Oreochromis niloticus: one gene and its partner. The protein of the gene in region 2 interacts with the protein of the main gene of each other region in a pairwise test. Links are inferred from orthologs where the notes say so. Each region holds a gene or a part of one and is shown on either strand. Other genes may lie near its edges.

The links. The genes of interacting proteins can lie anywhere in the genome.
Region 1: the proteins of pfdn5 (region 2) and pfdn2 interact in binary tests that used the Homo sapiens proteins (3 or more experiments, as listed by UniProt). The link is inferred for Oreochromis niloticus from reciprocal best matches to the Homo sapiens genes PFDN5 and PFDN2.

What each region holds. Positions count from the first base shown.
Region 1 is NC_031967.2:23,683,078-23,689,972, forward strand, and holds the start of pfdn2 (prefoldin subunit 2), read left to right. Parts: upstream 1-3,873; 5' UTR 3,874-3,948; coding exon 3,949-4,029; intron 4,030-5,058; coding exon 5,059-5,147; intron 5,148-6,223; coding exon 6,224-6,347; intron 6,348-6,477; coding exon 6,478-6,669; 3' UTR 6,670-6,895. UniProt on the Homo sapiens protein: Binds specifically to cytosolic chaperonin (c-CPN) and transfers target proteins to it. Binds to nascent polypeptide chain and promotes folding in an environment in which there are many competing pathways for nonnative proteins.
Region 2 is NC_031970.2:23,616,777-23,624,395, forward strand, and holds the start of pfdn5 (prefoldin subunit 5), read left to right. Parts: upstream 1-4,594; 5' UTR 4,595-4,686; coding exon 4,687-4,752; intron 4,753-4,991; coding exon 4,992-5,094; intron 5,095-5,895; coding exon 5,896-5,927; intron 5,928-6,044; coding exon 6,045-6,119; intron 6,120-6,223; coding exon 6,224-6,329; intron 6,330-7,619. Other genes in the region: espl1 (separin), read left to right, coding at 1-138, 238-405, 559-663, 862-977, 1,061-1,144, 2,061-2,225, 2,760-2,961. UniProt on the Homo sapiens protein: Binds specifically to cytosolic chaperonin (c-CPN) and transfers target proteins to it. Binds to nascent polypeptide chain and promotes folding in an environment in which there are many competing pathways for nonnative proteins.

The sequences.
Region 1 (6,895 bases), on a different chromosome or scaffold from region 2:
ACAAAAAACTGAATGATGCACACAGAAACATGATGATCCTATTCAACAGGTTTTCGGGAATTGTAATTAACCACAGTAGTGACAATAATGGATACAGGCTAATGATGGTGGTTGAGTTTAATGATGTTAAATATATTTTGATTTGTGTTTATAATAATAATAAAAATAATGGATTGGATTTATATAGCGCTTTTCAAGGCACCCAAAGCGCTTTACAATGCCATTATTCATTCACGCTCACATTCACACACTGGTGGAGGCAAGCTATGGTTGTAGCCACAGCTGCCCTGGGGCAGACTGACAGAGGCGAGGCTGCCATATCGCGCCATCGGCCCCTCTGGGCAACACCAGTAGGCGGTTTATGGTTATAACAAAAGAGCACAGATCAAACAACTTTACTCTTCCTTGAATAAGATGTTGGAGGAATGGAAAGTGACCTATAATACTCCAACACTGAGAAAGTCATAGTTGGAGGAGACTTTAATTTGGTCCCTGACGTCTATATGGATCGCCCTCCTCCAAGAAGAAATAGCCACTATTATGAGGAGATTGTAGCTGAATTTATTACTAAAGGAAATCTAATTGATTTTTGGAGAATGAGAAATCCCAATGTCAAACAATTCACATGGTACAATTGGGCTAATAATGGTCAATGTTCAAGGTTAGACTTTGGTTAATGTCTACTAACCTGATAAATAAGGTCCCTAAATGTGAAATATCAGCATCACCCCTGACTGACCACTGTGCTATTTCAATGTCTTTTCAACCAGGTGGGGTTAAGCATATCCCTAACTATTTATGGAAGTTTAATTTTGCAATGAAACAAAAAAACTTGTTAAACGAAATTAATCTACTGGAAATGTCACCCTTGAGTAAATGGGAATGGTTTAAAATTTAAAATCAAAGAGGTTGCCATAATAATAAGTAAAGGCATCTCAAAAGTTAAAAAAAAGAAACAACATGATATTATTAATCATATGAACAGATTACGTCAAAAAGAAGACCCATCTGTAGAAGAACAAATCAAACTAAATAATCTTCAAAATCAGTTGGATAGTTTATATCTGGAAAGAGCAAAAGGAGCATTTATACGCTCAAGAGCTCGTTGGCTTGAGGAAGGTGAAAAAATACTTCTTATTTCTTTGGCCTGGAAAATCAAAGACAAACAAAAAAGAAAATCAATAAACTACTTGTTAATAATCTTAGGAATGATAGCCAAGAACAAATAAATGAGGAAATAGAACATTTCTATAAGAAATTATATAAATCTAACTTTTCACTCGATGATTGTCAAACATTTTTTGAAATAATTAGGCCAAGTAGTACAATAATTGATGAGTCTTTTAGGCAACACTTAGAATAGATAGATAAACTTAGAATTGCAGAGCTAGATAAAGCAATTGGGCATATGTCAAAAGGAAAGTCACCAGAACTGGATGGGTTAACAGTGGAATTTTATATTCATTTTTGGAATGATATCAGGGTACTGCCTTGTAATGCCTTTTTGAATGTACTTCATCTGGTCATCTCTGTCGTCTACCATGAAAAGGGGTGTCATCACATTAATTCCAAAACCCAGTAAGGACAAACTATTGCTGGATAACTGGGGACCAATTACTTTATTATGCAATGAATACAAGTTGCTAGCTCATATTTACTCCAATAGATTGGATTTGGGGCTATCCAAAATAGTGGATGAGTGCCAGTCAGCCTTTGTGAAGGGTAGAAACATACATAACCACACTAGACTGATTCTTGGCCTGCTAGACTACAGAGAATTTATCACAACAGTGTTGTTTCTGGACTTCTTCAAGGCTTTTGACACAATCGAGCATTCCTTTTTGTTAAAAGCTTTAGAATTTTTGGGCTTTGGAAGTAAATTTTGCAACATGGTTGAAATGCTTACACTGACATCAGTAGCACGGTCTCCTTGAATCCAGGAGTCATTCCTGGATTCAAGGCGCAACGAGGAATCTGACAAGGATGCCATATTTCCCCAAAGCTTTTTATATTGGCAACTCAATTCTTAACACTATTAATCAAAAATTCTAACAACATACAAGGAATATCAATTTTTAACAAAGAGTTCAAAGTCAGTTTGCAGATGATACATCTATCTTTTTGAAAGATAAATCAATGGTAGATAAAACTTCAAGTACTATCTCAATCTTCTCTAAAGCTTCCGGTTTATCTCTTAATATCAAAAAATGTGAACTACTTCCGATTCATACAAACGTGTACTGTTGTACTGTTCCAAATTTTCATTTGTATTATTACCTGTGTTATCCTCTTTGAGAGTTTGTATTTTACATTGCTCAAATACAAAAAAGAAATCTAGGTAGCTAGTGACCAGCTGTTTGCCACACACAACCTTTTGCAGCTGGCAGGTGGTGGGCAGCCCTCTTCCAAAAAAGCAAAGAGAACATATTTAGAAAACAACAAGGGGAATAACTGAGTGTACACTTAGGGATCACTTTTGAATACATAAACTTATTCCTGGGGTTTTAATTAGTGCTGTTTTTCCAGAGCCATTCACATAGATCAGACAGCCCCCCCCCCCCCCCCCCCCCACACACACACACACAACATGTGTCTTTTGTTATTACTGTGTATTGTTGTAAACACTGACTGTATAAAATATGAATGTTCATTTTCTGTATTGGAAAACCGAAGCCAAAGTGTCTTAAACCTGCATTCTGTCTAAAGACCACCAGATGCTAATTGCTGTAGTTTCAAAAACACTTCAGGTCCTATAAATGTCTATGGAAAAGCCTCTGTAAAAAACTTTCCTGCTGAGTTTATAGTCTTAGTCACTCATAAATAATATGAAAAACTCTAATGTTAAGGCATTAAAATGGGATTTCATAAAGGAATGAATTCGCCATAGAGTGTAAATAGACAGATTCTTTATTGATCACGCAAGGGAAATTGCCGTCTTGCAGCAACACCACCCTCTACAGGAAAGGGCAGAGCAGGCTGTACCTGCTGCGGAGACTCAGGTCGTTTGGAGTGGAGGGCCCACTCCTGAAGACCTTCTATGACTCTGTGGTGGCCTCAGCCATCTTCTATGGTGTGGTCTGCTGGGGTGGCAGCATCTCTGCTGGGGACAGGAAGAGACTGAACAGGCTGATCAGAAGGGCCAGCTCTGTTCTAGGATGCCCTCTGGACCCAGTGGAGGTGGTGAGTGACAGGAGAATGGTGGCTAAGCTGTCATCCCTGTTGGACAACATCTCCCACCCCATGCAGGAGACTGTGACAGCACTGAGCAGCTCCTTCAGTGGGAGACTGCGGCACCCACGGTGTGGGACGGAGACATTTCGCAGGTCTTTCCTCCCCACTGCTGTCAGACTCCACAACAAAGACTTCAACTGATCAAACACACACATCCACACATGTGCAATAACACTAATGTGCAATAATCTTTTCTGGCATCGTTGTATTTTTACTCAATTGTATATAGCATTTGTATTCTATTCTTATCTTATTGTATATTTTATTCTATTTTATTCTACTGTATATAGTATTTTATTTTATTCTATTCTGTACAGTTGTGTACTGTATTTATTCTTATTTTATTTTATTCTAATTTTTCCTTCATAACTTTTGCACTGTCCACTTCCTGCTGTGACAAAACAAATTTCCCACGTGTGGGACTAATAAAGGTTATCTTATTCTTATTCTTATAAGAAGTAAAAATAAAAATTGTATAATCCACAATAAAAACAACATAGGCAGTGTAACAATGTAATTTGAGGTCCATACAGTAATTGGTCCATACTGAAGGCCTAGTAATGTGAAGTAGTCAAAAATTTCACATACTACAGTGATTAAAAGAAAATAATACCATAATGAAAAGTCACACTTTATTTTATTCATTTCTATACAGGCAATCGCGTAAACCAGCCCTGTACGTCTTTCCTGGGTCCCTCGCAGCAACACCCTTCCAAGATGGCAGCCAACAGTAGCAGCACGGGTAGCAAATCCAGCAACAGCAGCGGTGGGAAACAGTCCGGCCCGTCAGCTGAACAGGTACCCTCCCCTCCACCTCAGGCTGCTTCACCGGTGCAATCGTTGATATTGTTGTCGTTGGGCCTTGTGCGGTGGAGTTACAGCCACCAGTTTGAGTCCCGGATAGCTAAAGCTAACGTTAGCTTCCCATCGCAGTGAGCCAGGTGTCCGGCCATCAGTCTGCTCTCTAACAAGCAGCTGGTGTTAAACATGAAGATTTAAGCGTTCATATAATGAGCTGGGGTCAGGTGTGCGCTTCTAGAGAGCGGTTTATGGCTGTTAGACGTATTTAAATGTGCGCATGTGTGTAACGAGATGGTGTAGCTGTGTGAATAGAAGATGCTATTTTTATAACTGAAGACCACCCAGCCCGACTCAATCAACGTGAAGCCACATTACTCAGATATTCATAAAGTATCTGTAATGATGAACTGAGTTTGCCGTAAAAGTCCTGCAGTGTAGCTGCTCTCAACAAAAGTATGTGGAAAGCGATTAATGTGATCAATGCAATGGTTTCATGTGGTGCTCCTGCAGGCTGTCCATCATGGATCAGTTTGCGTTTGTTGGTGTCAGCTGCCCTCTGCTGTCCCAGCGCAGCACAGAACAGCATAGAGTACGGCAGTGACCATCACAGACTCATGCTGAGCGGATATTAAAATACCTCAGTCATCTCAGAAAATAGTGATGGCTGTGTATGTTCTTGTAGAGAACTTATGTGTTTTTAGTGAAGTCTGGTTAATTGTTAATGTGAACATTCCTTGACAGTTTCCACTGGTAGAAACAGGGCTCACTGATTTTGATCACCAGGAGGCGTTTAAGTTACTTGAAATTAAAATGCCATTATTTTTATGATATAGCCAAAAAAATTACTGAAAATGTGTGAATTTCTGAGTGTGGTGAGGTTACATAGACTTTTACACCTTAACTATGTGTGGATCAGACATGCTTACATGTCCGGTCATCTCCAAGAAACGTGAATATAAAAATAACATACCATATGCAATAGCTCTGCTGGTCCATGATGGTGCTCACTCTGGTTTTGTGTGGCAGGTGGTGGCAACATTTCAGAGGATGCGTCAGGAACAGCGCAGTATGGCTTCTAAAGCTGCAGAGTTGGAGATGGACATCAACGAGCACAGGTTGGTACAAACCTTCTGATCCGCTCTAAACAGTTTACATTTACAAAGAAGTTTCATGCGGCAGTTCAAGAAAGAGAGAACTGAACATGATTTATTGATACACAGAATTCAGTTATGCTATTTGGCGACTCCGATGCTACGACAGCAGAATGAAATCCTAGTGGCGATAGACGTTATCTAGGCGTCAAGGGTCATGCCTTGACTCTAGGTCCTCATCAAATTCTAGCTCAGGTTCTAGCTCAAGTGCCCCTCCAGCTCATAGAGGATCTCAGAGCAGAAGTCCAAGATGGTGGAGTTTAATCCATCTGACCATGGCTTGCAACACACACTGGGAAGCAGCTAAATTATTTTATGGTTTTACTGCGTGCCTTCTCAAATGTTGGCCCAAATGTGTGCGCGCACACGTGTACACAGAAAAAGCGGACAGATGATAGAAAAACACACACAGCAAGTGTTTATTTCTCACTTCCAGTATTAGGAAACATTTGCATGTTTGCAAACAGTACTGATTGCAAACACTTCATTGGCACAACCGGAACAGGTAGCTGGTTTGCAGCAGTTACTTTGGTAACTGAGTTTAAGTAACTGATCTTAAAACGTTTAAATATAAAAGTAAATAAATGCTTAAATGAGGTGTCAGAAATACTTGTATGGGTATTAATATACTTGGTGGAAGACCTGATGGCTGAGTAGTTATTCCTGTTATACTTCTTTTAAGTTCACCTCCCAGAGTGGATGTGTGGTCAGTGCATGGTGAAATAAAGTCTCCGTGGATAAGTCCTTGTAGACACATGGACCCTCACACTCACTGTCTGATGATGAAATTTATGATCCTAGTGGACTTGTGGATGTGGAGGTTAATTGAGACTTATGGCCTGACGTTATAAGCATCTAAATACGTAATAAGCTCCAGGGCAGACCAGGTGGTGCATGTGAATGTAACACTGAATGCATGTCCTTAGCCGCAAATATTTCACAATCTGGGGAATCACAATGTCAGCTACCAGCTGAGGCATTCCTGTGATACCTTTTGAGTTGAATACGTTTTCTTTTTAACATTTCTGTTTTCCATTCAGCTTAGTAATAGACACATTGAAGGAGGTGGATCCATCGAGGAAATGCTTTCGTCTAATAGGAGGAGTGTTGGTGGAGAGGACAGTAAAAGAAGTTCTACCTGCCTTGGAAAACAACAAAGAACAGGTGATGGAAGAGGAAATGATAGCATATTACAGTTTTCACACTGTGCTCTGCTGTTTAATAGCTTCATATATTGTACACAGACTCTTATTTCGCTCACGATTTAATTTTCTTCCTCCTCCTATCTTCACAGATCTCCAAAATAATCGAGTCCATCAACTCACAGATGCAGACGAAGGGGCGGGAGCTCACAGAGTACAGGGAACGCTACAACATACGTTTGGTGGGAGAGGGCGAAGGAGAGGAAAAGGGCCAGTCAGCCGCTCCCTCCAGGGACAGCGAAGGAGGCGGATCCAAAAGCGGAGCCGGTGTTTTAGTTTCATAGGTAGTGAGCATGGACAGTGACAGCAGGGCCCTTTGATTTCTGCAGTGCTGAACACGTAGATGGAGTCACACAGTTTAGGTGGAAAACAAACTCTTTGCAGGATAACTCTGGATTTGAAGTTTACTGAAATCTCTGCTTAATCTAACGCACTTGTTAATTTGCAGCAGGTATATTCTGCTTCCTTATGTTCAGTGTGAAAGTTAAAGCTGTCTTATGTTTGCCTTTT
Region 2 (7,619 bases):
GACATGGAGAGGTTGCTTGGATGCTGGAGAACCTTCCTTCTACCCCTTTCATTGGATGCTGAGCTTTCCAAACAGACCCAACACCTTTACCACGCATTATCTGCAAGGGGAGTGCCAGTGGAAGAAGAGATGTTGAAGGTGGGTTTTTTTTTGTTTGTTTTCGTTTCATTTCCATGGATCTTTAACATCAGCTTCTAATTGATTATTCTGACCACTAATGCCTCTGACTTGTCTTAGGTTCTGCTTTCTGCATCTCCTGTGCTATCTGAAGACGACTTGAAACAATTTGCTCTTGGAGTTTCTCCACAGTGGGACACTGAGTGTGATCAGCTTCTTCACACTGCTGTGTCCCAGCTCTTACAGAGGGATGAGCCCCGAAATCATGTGGTTCTAATCCTTGACAAGGTTGGTTTCATAATCTCTGTGAAATACTGAATTCACTTTTATAGCTAATGCAGGCATGTGTGTCACTACGAGTTGAAAAGCATCACTGCAATGTATCACTTGTGAGAAGACAAAGTATTTGCTGCTTATCAGCTTTTGTACTTTTTGCTGCAGTACCTTCAGAAGTTGCCGTGGGAGAGCATTCCCGTCTTAAAGTCTAGCTCTGTAAGTCGGATGCCTTCTCTGCACTCGCTGCTTGGACTGAGCATTCAAAAAGAGGTATGATTAAGCTCTATAACTGTCAGGTAGGACTCATACATGTATGTTAAGGCTTTTAACATTCACACCTCTCATTAACTGCAATGCTAATAAAGACATTCCCATGCCGTCAAGGATTAATGCAAAGTGTCTGTATTGCTAATGAAACAGTTGATTTCAATAGTTGCAATGTTATCGTTATTTCAATCATTCTTTTAGACTGACTCCGAGTCTATTTTGAGGCGTGGTGTGGATGCAAAGAAAGTGTTTTATGTGCTCGATCCTGATGACAATTTAGGGAACTCTCAGGAGCGTTTCAAAGACTGGTTTTGCAGGTGAGACTGAAACATGTCAGTAATTGAGCACAAGTCCATGCATAAATGTTTTTCATCAGTTCAGTTTTCTATTCTCATTAAAGTAAACCGGACTGGGAAGGAGTGTGTGGAATTGCACCTGACTTGGGCCGACTAGAAGAAGCTGTTGCTACAAAAGACGTCTACATGTGAGTTTCAGTTTTATAAGTAAAAATTAACTACAGATTCAAACCCCTTTATTGTTTGAAGATTTTTCTGTATTCAAGATTCACTTTAAAATTCTTTTAAAAAAAGGTCTCCGTTAAAAACACATTAAAACCAATAATGGCAACCTGAATGAACTATATATATCTATATCTATATATATCTATATATATATCTATATCTATATATCTATATATGAGAGAGAGAGAGAGAGAGAGAGAGAATAAAAAATAATAATAATTGTAAAAAATTAACTCTGCAAGCAGACCACTAAGCACTGTGATGGACTCCAAGGCAATACTCTCATCTTGGCAGCATCTTGCTATGGGTGTACCTGTCAGGGTTTAAGGGAAAGAGGTGAGAGTTTATCTATTAGTAAAAATAATTCAGCCACGGTCTTGTTGGAGTAGCTTGAGGACAAGTCTGCCTGTGTCTGAGTGACCCAGCCAAAGAATGAGTCCAAATCCATGTGTGCATAGCTTGTAGAGATGTGTACAAAAATACCCAAAGCTTAATGTCCTACTTGAGGGCCTTCTGGAGATAAGTAAGGGTCAGTGTGCAGAAAGTGAAGGTGTCTGGATGGTGACCCTGAGCTTTAGTGTAGATCGTTCACACTGGGACTGATTTCTTTATCAAGTGGGTGAAACCTCAAAAATAAAACTTTCTCTTTGTCAAACATTTAATATTCATTCTATTTTAAATAATGAGGGCTTGTTTTTCTTAACGTTCAGTTCTGTCATCAGATTTCCATCTTTTTTTACCTTGTATTTCTATTTTTTTTTTCTGTTCGTTTTGTGAGTTTCACTGTTTGTTTGGTTTTTTGTTGTTGTTGTTGTTGTTGTTTGTTTGGGTTTTTTTTGTTTGTTTGGTTTTTTTAAATCTATCTCTCCATGATTTTAGTTATGTGGGCCATGGAGCAGGAGCCCGGTTCCTGGACAGCCAGGCTGTTCTCAAACGGCCGCTGAGGGCAGCGTCTCTGCTGTTTGGCTGCAGCAGCGGAGCCCTGGCTGTCCGGGGACAGCAGGAAGGAAATGGCATTGTGCTAAATTACATCATAGCAGGCTGGTAAGATATCTTTGCATTTTCATCCATGTGCAGCTGAATGAAAACTGGATAACATGACCATATGAAATGCACAGCATTTCCTCTTGATGACTGCAGCAGTTATAATAGCTGATGTAAAACATTTTCATTTTATGCATTTATTTTTAACTTGTGCACTACAAACAAAGCACTTATGATTTACAATCGACCCTAAAAACAAAAATTTAAATAAAGAAAAATAAACATGCATAATAATAAAAAGTAAAAATCTGAAAATGTACTTACTGAAAGTTTTGTTTAAAAGGTCGCAATCCTGCTGCATATAATTTTTGATAACATGGAGTGTGATTTTTTTTTTTTTTTTTTTTTTTTTTTTTTTTTTTTTTTTTTTTCCCCTCTCTCTTTTTTTTAATACTGCTGTTGCAGATTTAATTAGAATCTTTTGAAACAAACTGTTGTTAACAGAAGGAATATTTGGGGATCTTATGTAAAGTATCTAGTTTGTAACATGTCTTATGGTCATCATCCTTTTGATTTTTTGTTTGTTTGTTTTAGCCCATTCATCTTGGGAAATCTCTGGGATGTCACAGATCGGGATATTGATCGCTTCACCAAGGCCTTGTTAGAGTCGTGGTTTTCTGCTGGCTCCGGGGCACCGCTCCTCGACTTCATGGGGTCGTCTCGGCAGGCCACTCACTTGAAATATCTGATAGGCGCTGCGCCCGTGGTATATGGCCTGCCAGTGCACTTAACATAGGGTGCTACTGAGGTTAAATCCTTTTTTTTTTTTTTTAAATGCATTTTGAGTATAACATTATTTTTAAACCATTGTTTTGAATTTTTTGTGTGTCAATACGTTTTAAATAACGGGATTTCTTTTAAATTTTTAAATTCATTATTAATGTATAGAATGAACTCCTTTTTAAAATATAATAAATGTTTTTTTTCACACACAATCTGTTGGTGCCCTGTTAATTATGTAGACGTGAAGCCCAGATCTGTCTCCACAATCATCAGATCACAATCTTTGGGAGTTAGTTGACCAGGAGATTGGTATCATGGATGTGCAGCAGACAAATCTGCAGCAACTCTGTGATTCTTTCATGTTAAAATGGAATAAAATTTCTGAGGAATGTTTCCAGCACCTTGCTGAATTTATGCCACAAAGAATGAAGGCAGTTCTGAAGGAAAAAGAGGGTCCAACCCAGTACCAGCAGCGTTTATTTGATAAAGTGGCCACTGAGTGTACGTTGAACCTGGTGCCTGCGATACCTGACACATTTACATAAAGCTCTCTACCTTAAACCAATACAAAAGAAAAGAATAGTAACAGTATAAAAGTGTTTGACACGAAAAATGTCTTCAGAAAGGAGCCACCCCCCCCAAAGCCCATCCTCTCGTATCACAGCTGAGTGTTTTCTAGTCACTGTTTTGAACTTTGCACCCATGGGTCATGCATGGTGTTATTTCTTTGGAATAAATTATTAGTTTTTAACAGCAGTTGGTGGATGTCTACACTTTCTGGGTGCTCTTGCAGTTTTAGTTTTATTTTGTCACAAGCACAAAAAATAAATTTTATATAGGGCCTATATCCAGCAATATTTTTCTTCTTCCTTTGGCCTGAGCAGACTGAAAGCAGATCATCTGCCTCCATCACACTCTATCCCTGGAATCCTCTTCTGTCACACAAACCCTCTGCATACCATCCTTAACTACATCCATGAATATTTTCTGTCTTTCTCTCCTCCTGCTGCTTGGCAGTTCCATCTTCAAGATCCTTTGTCTGATACATTTACCATCTTCAGTTCATTTTCGACTCTGCCACCTCCAATTCGGACTGCTGTGTTTTAGTCAGTGCAGCTATCTCCAAATTGTACATCATAGCATGTCTCACTACCACCTTGTAAACCTTCCCTTTCACACTCGCTGATATCCTTCTGTCACAAATCACCCCGGACACTTGGCTCCACCCTGCCTGCACACTCTTCTTCACCTCTCTTGCGCACTGTCCATTGCTTCAGATGGTTGACTGCAGGTATTTAAACTTATTCTACTTTCACTACCTCTGCACCTCTCTGCCTCTCTCATTCACACATATGTATTCTTTCTTACTTCTATTGACTTTTATTCCTCTTCTCTCCTGAGTATATCCTCACTTCTTCAGGCTCTTTTCCTTTCTTCCTACTCTCACTACAGATCGGTGCCATCTGCAAACACCATAGTCCACAGAAACTCCTCCCTGACCTCATCTGTCAGTGATCACCATTGTAAACAAGAAGGGGCTCAGTGCAGATCCCTGATGTTATCCCAGCTCAAACTTGAACCCATCTGTCAGCCTCACATACTTCTCTGTGAAGAGGCATAAGGAGCTGGTTCACTTCCTCACTTCTCCGCAGTGGGGCGATGTTTCAGACTAGTGACGGTCCAGCTCCATAACCCGGAAACAGCATCGCTAAAGGTCTCTTAGCATCACGCTTCCAACATGGCGGTGAATCTGACAGACCTCTCCCTGCCTCAATTAGAGGGACTGAAAACCCAGCTAGACCAGGTAGTGTGCCTAGTTTGTCCGTGTGTGTGCGAGGAATGTGTCCTTATAAAGGGCTCTAATCAGAGCTTTAAGCGTGCTGAGAACGGGCCCGGGTATTCAGCCGGCTAGCACCACTGATGCTAACAGTGCAAACCCGTTGTTGTTGATGTTGTCGGCACACCTTAACAAGTCAAGCATAAAACCATTGGTTGGTAACCGTGTGCCACTTGTTTTCTACACGTTGTTGTGTCTTTTTGCAGGAAGTTGAGTTCTTGACGTCTTCGATAGGTCAGCTCAAAGTTGTCCAGACAAAGTATGTTGAGGCAAAAGATAGCTTGAATGTCCTGAACAAAAACAATAAAGGTGAGTAATAATTTTAACTTTTGACAGCCTATTAATTCAGTGCACCTCTGGTAGATTGAAAAACATGTTTATCTCAACACTCAAGAGGCGTGAAACTGACTATATCGGCAATAACTCGTATTATTATATATTAGATGAACCGGTATTCAAATGAAATGCAAGTAGCAGCTACTACCCTGTTTATTTACTTCCCCTTTTAACTTGCCAGTTAACTGATAAATGTTATGTAGTGAAAGTGAGGAGCAGGTGGAAGAGAGCCTAGAGAGGTTTGAAAGTCAGCACAAGTGTGAATGTGAGAGAGACGGATGTAACGGTAAAGAGTAGAGGAGTTTAAATACCACAAATGTCCAGAGTTTCCAAAATGAATGCCATGTTGATGTCAGAGTAGAAAGGTCAGACTGCTTTGAGCTGATGGAAGAACAACAGCAACTCAAATAACCACTCTTAATAACTAAGGTCTAGGACATTCATCGGACGTCCTCTATTAAAAATCAACGACACATCCTGGATTATAGTGTACATGACTATCGCAGTTTCAACAAAACAAAAAAGCAAGAGCAAAACACAGAAGCGCTGAGGCACTGATCTGAGCTCATATGTACAACATCAGTTTTGCTAACACAGCGTCACACTCTAATGATATAACCAGTCATCACATTAAAATGACACTTGTTACATCCTTATTAGTTCTTATGACACCCCGCACGACCATTTCTGGCCAAAAACAGAATTCTGCTTTTTCAGTAATGTTCGCTAGAAATCTGTAGCTTAATTTGATTTATTATTTCCTCTTTCATATAGGAAAAGAACTCCTTGTGCCTCTTACCAGTTCTGTATCCTTTTGTTTGCACTGGACAGTAAGTGTTTTGCTGTGTTGTATGATGTGCTTTAAATTAAGTCATGGTTATCTTGAGCTATGCATGTTTGTCCTTGACATTCCTGTTACTCAGATGTATGTCCCTGGGACATTAAATGATGTGGAACACGTTTTAGTGGATGTGGGGACAGGATACTATGTTGAAAAGGTAAAAAAAAATTGCAATTTGAAAAGCCATGAGTGGATTATAATGAAACAAAATGTTTAAATGTGTTTGAGTCGTGTTGAAATTTCTCCTTTTTGTCTCTGCAGAACGTGGAAGACTCAAAGGCATTCTTTAAGCGCAAAATAGACTTCCTCACAAAGCAGATAGAGAAAATTCAGCCAGCCCTACAGGAAAAGCATGCCATGAAACAAGGTAACTTCCTTATCTCGGTGCACCATCATACCATGTGACATTATACTGGTTCATATTAAGCACTGTATGAGTCAGAATTCTGGCTGGGTTGTAGGGGGATCAAATACTTATTTTACTCAATGACATGCATGTTTCTGGACTTCTTATTTTTATTTTTTTCTTCAATTAAAATGAAATTATCCTAAAAATTAGATGACAGCAATTATGATTATTTTCACAACATTAATGCGGAATCTTTTTGAATACATGGTACTGATGGCTTGAACCTCAGTCTTTAAACTTTACCTTCATTTTGATCTCATCGACAAAGCTTCATGTGTGTATCTTACAGAGTTGTGATACTGTTGTGTTGACAGATTGTGCTAAATAACAACCAAATTACTAATAGTGCCTTTGCAGTTGCAGTTGTTCCCAGTACAGAAGGTGTCTTCATAAACACATTTCATCATCATTGACAAAAACATAGACTTACAAGGTGAAGATGATATCAGCTAAAAATCCATGTCCACTCATGTGATGAACCGCGTTGTCCATTGGATAATAAGTTTGCAATGCGACATAACTCCCCCACATCTTCACTGTGTCTGTGCCAGGCATCATACTCGTCCTCATTCTGTCTGTTTTTTTTTTTTAGTTCGTTTAGCCTTTGGCTTTTTTACAGTACAGTTTTTGTTTTATACACTAAAGAGTAGTGAACTAAATACATAAGTAGCTTTCATCATAGCTAGCTAATATGAATTTTGATGAATTAACCTATAAAGATGACATTTGATGACCTCCCCTGTACCCTCAACCTACTACACTAATGCTGGGTGATTTAACCCATGTGTAAGTTATATAAAACAGCATGTTAGTGTTGTTGGGTTAGTAACGACTTTACACCTTGGCATTTATCAATGAAGATGTGGTTCAACAACCATTAGAATAGTATTCAGGTTTATCCAGGGGTAACTAGGGGCAGAAACCCCCTCACTAACTTTTGATGCAAACACACTCATTTTGTTCTAATAGTCAGGAATTAAATATGACAGAAACCACTCAGAAAAGAGTTTCAAGGGTTATTCCGAGTAAGCTATGAAGGGTAATCGAGCTAAAATACAATAAAAGTCCTTCATCAAATCACCTGTGTGAATAGTTCAAATGTGAAGAAAAGCAATGTTTTCAGCTCCTCCCATCCAACAGGAACAGCATGCTAAATTAAGAAACTGCTCAACTGAAAGTCATTTGTATCCTTATGAACTGCTCAATCTTTAAATTTGGCACATTTCCTGCCCCTCCCTGCTGTCTGTA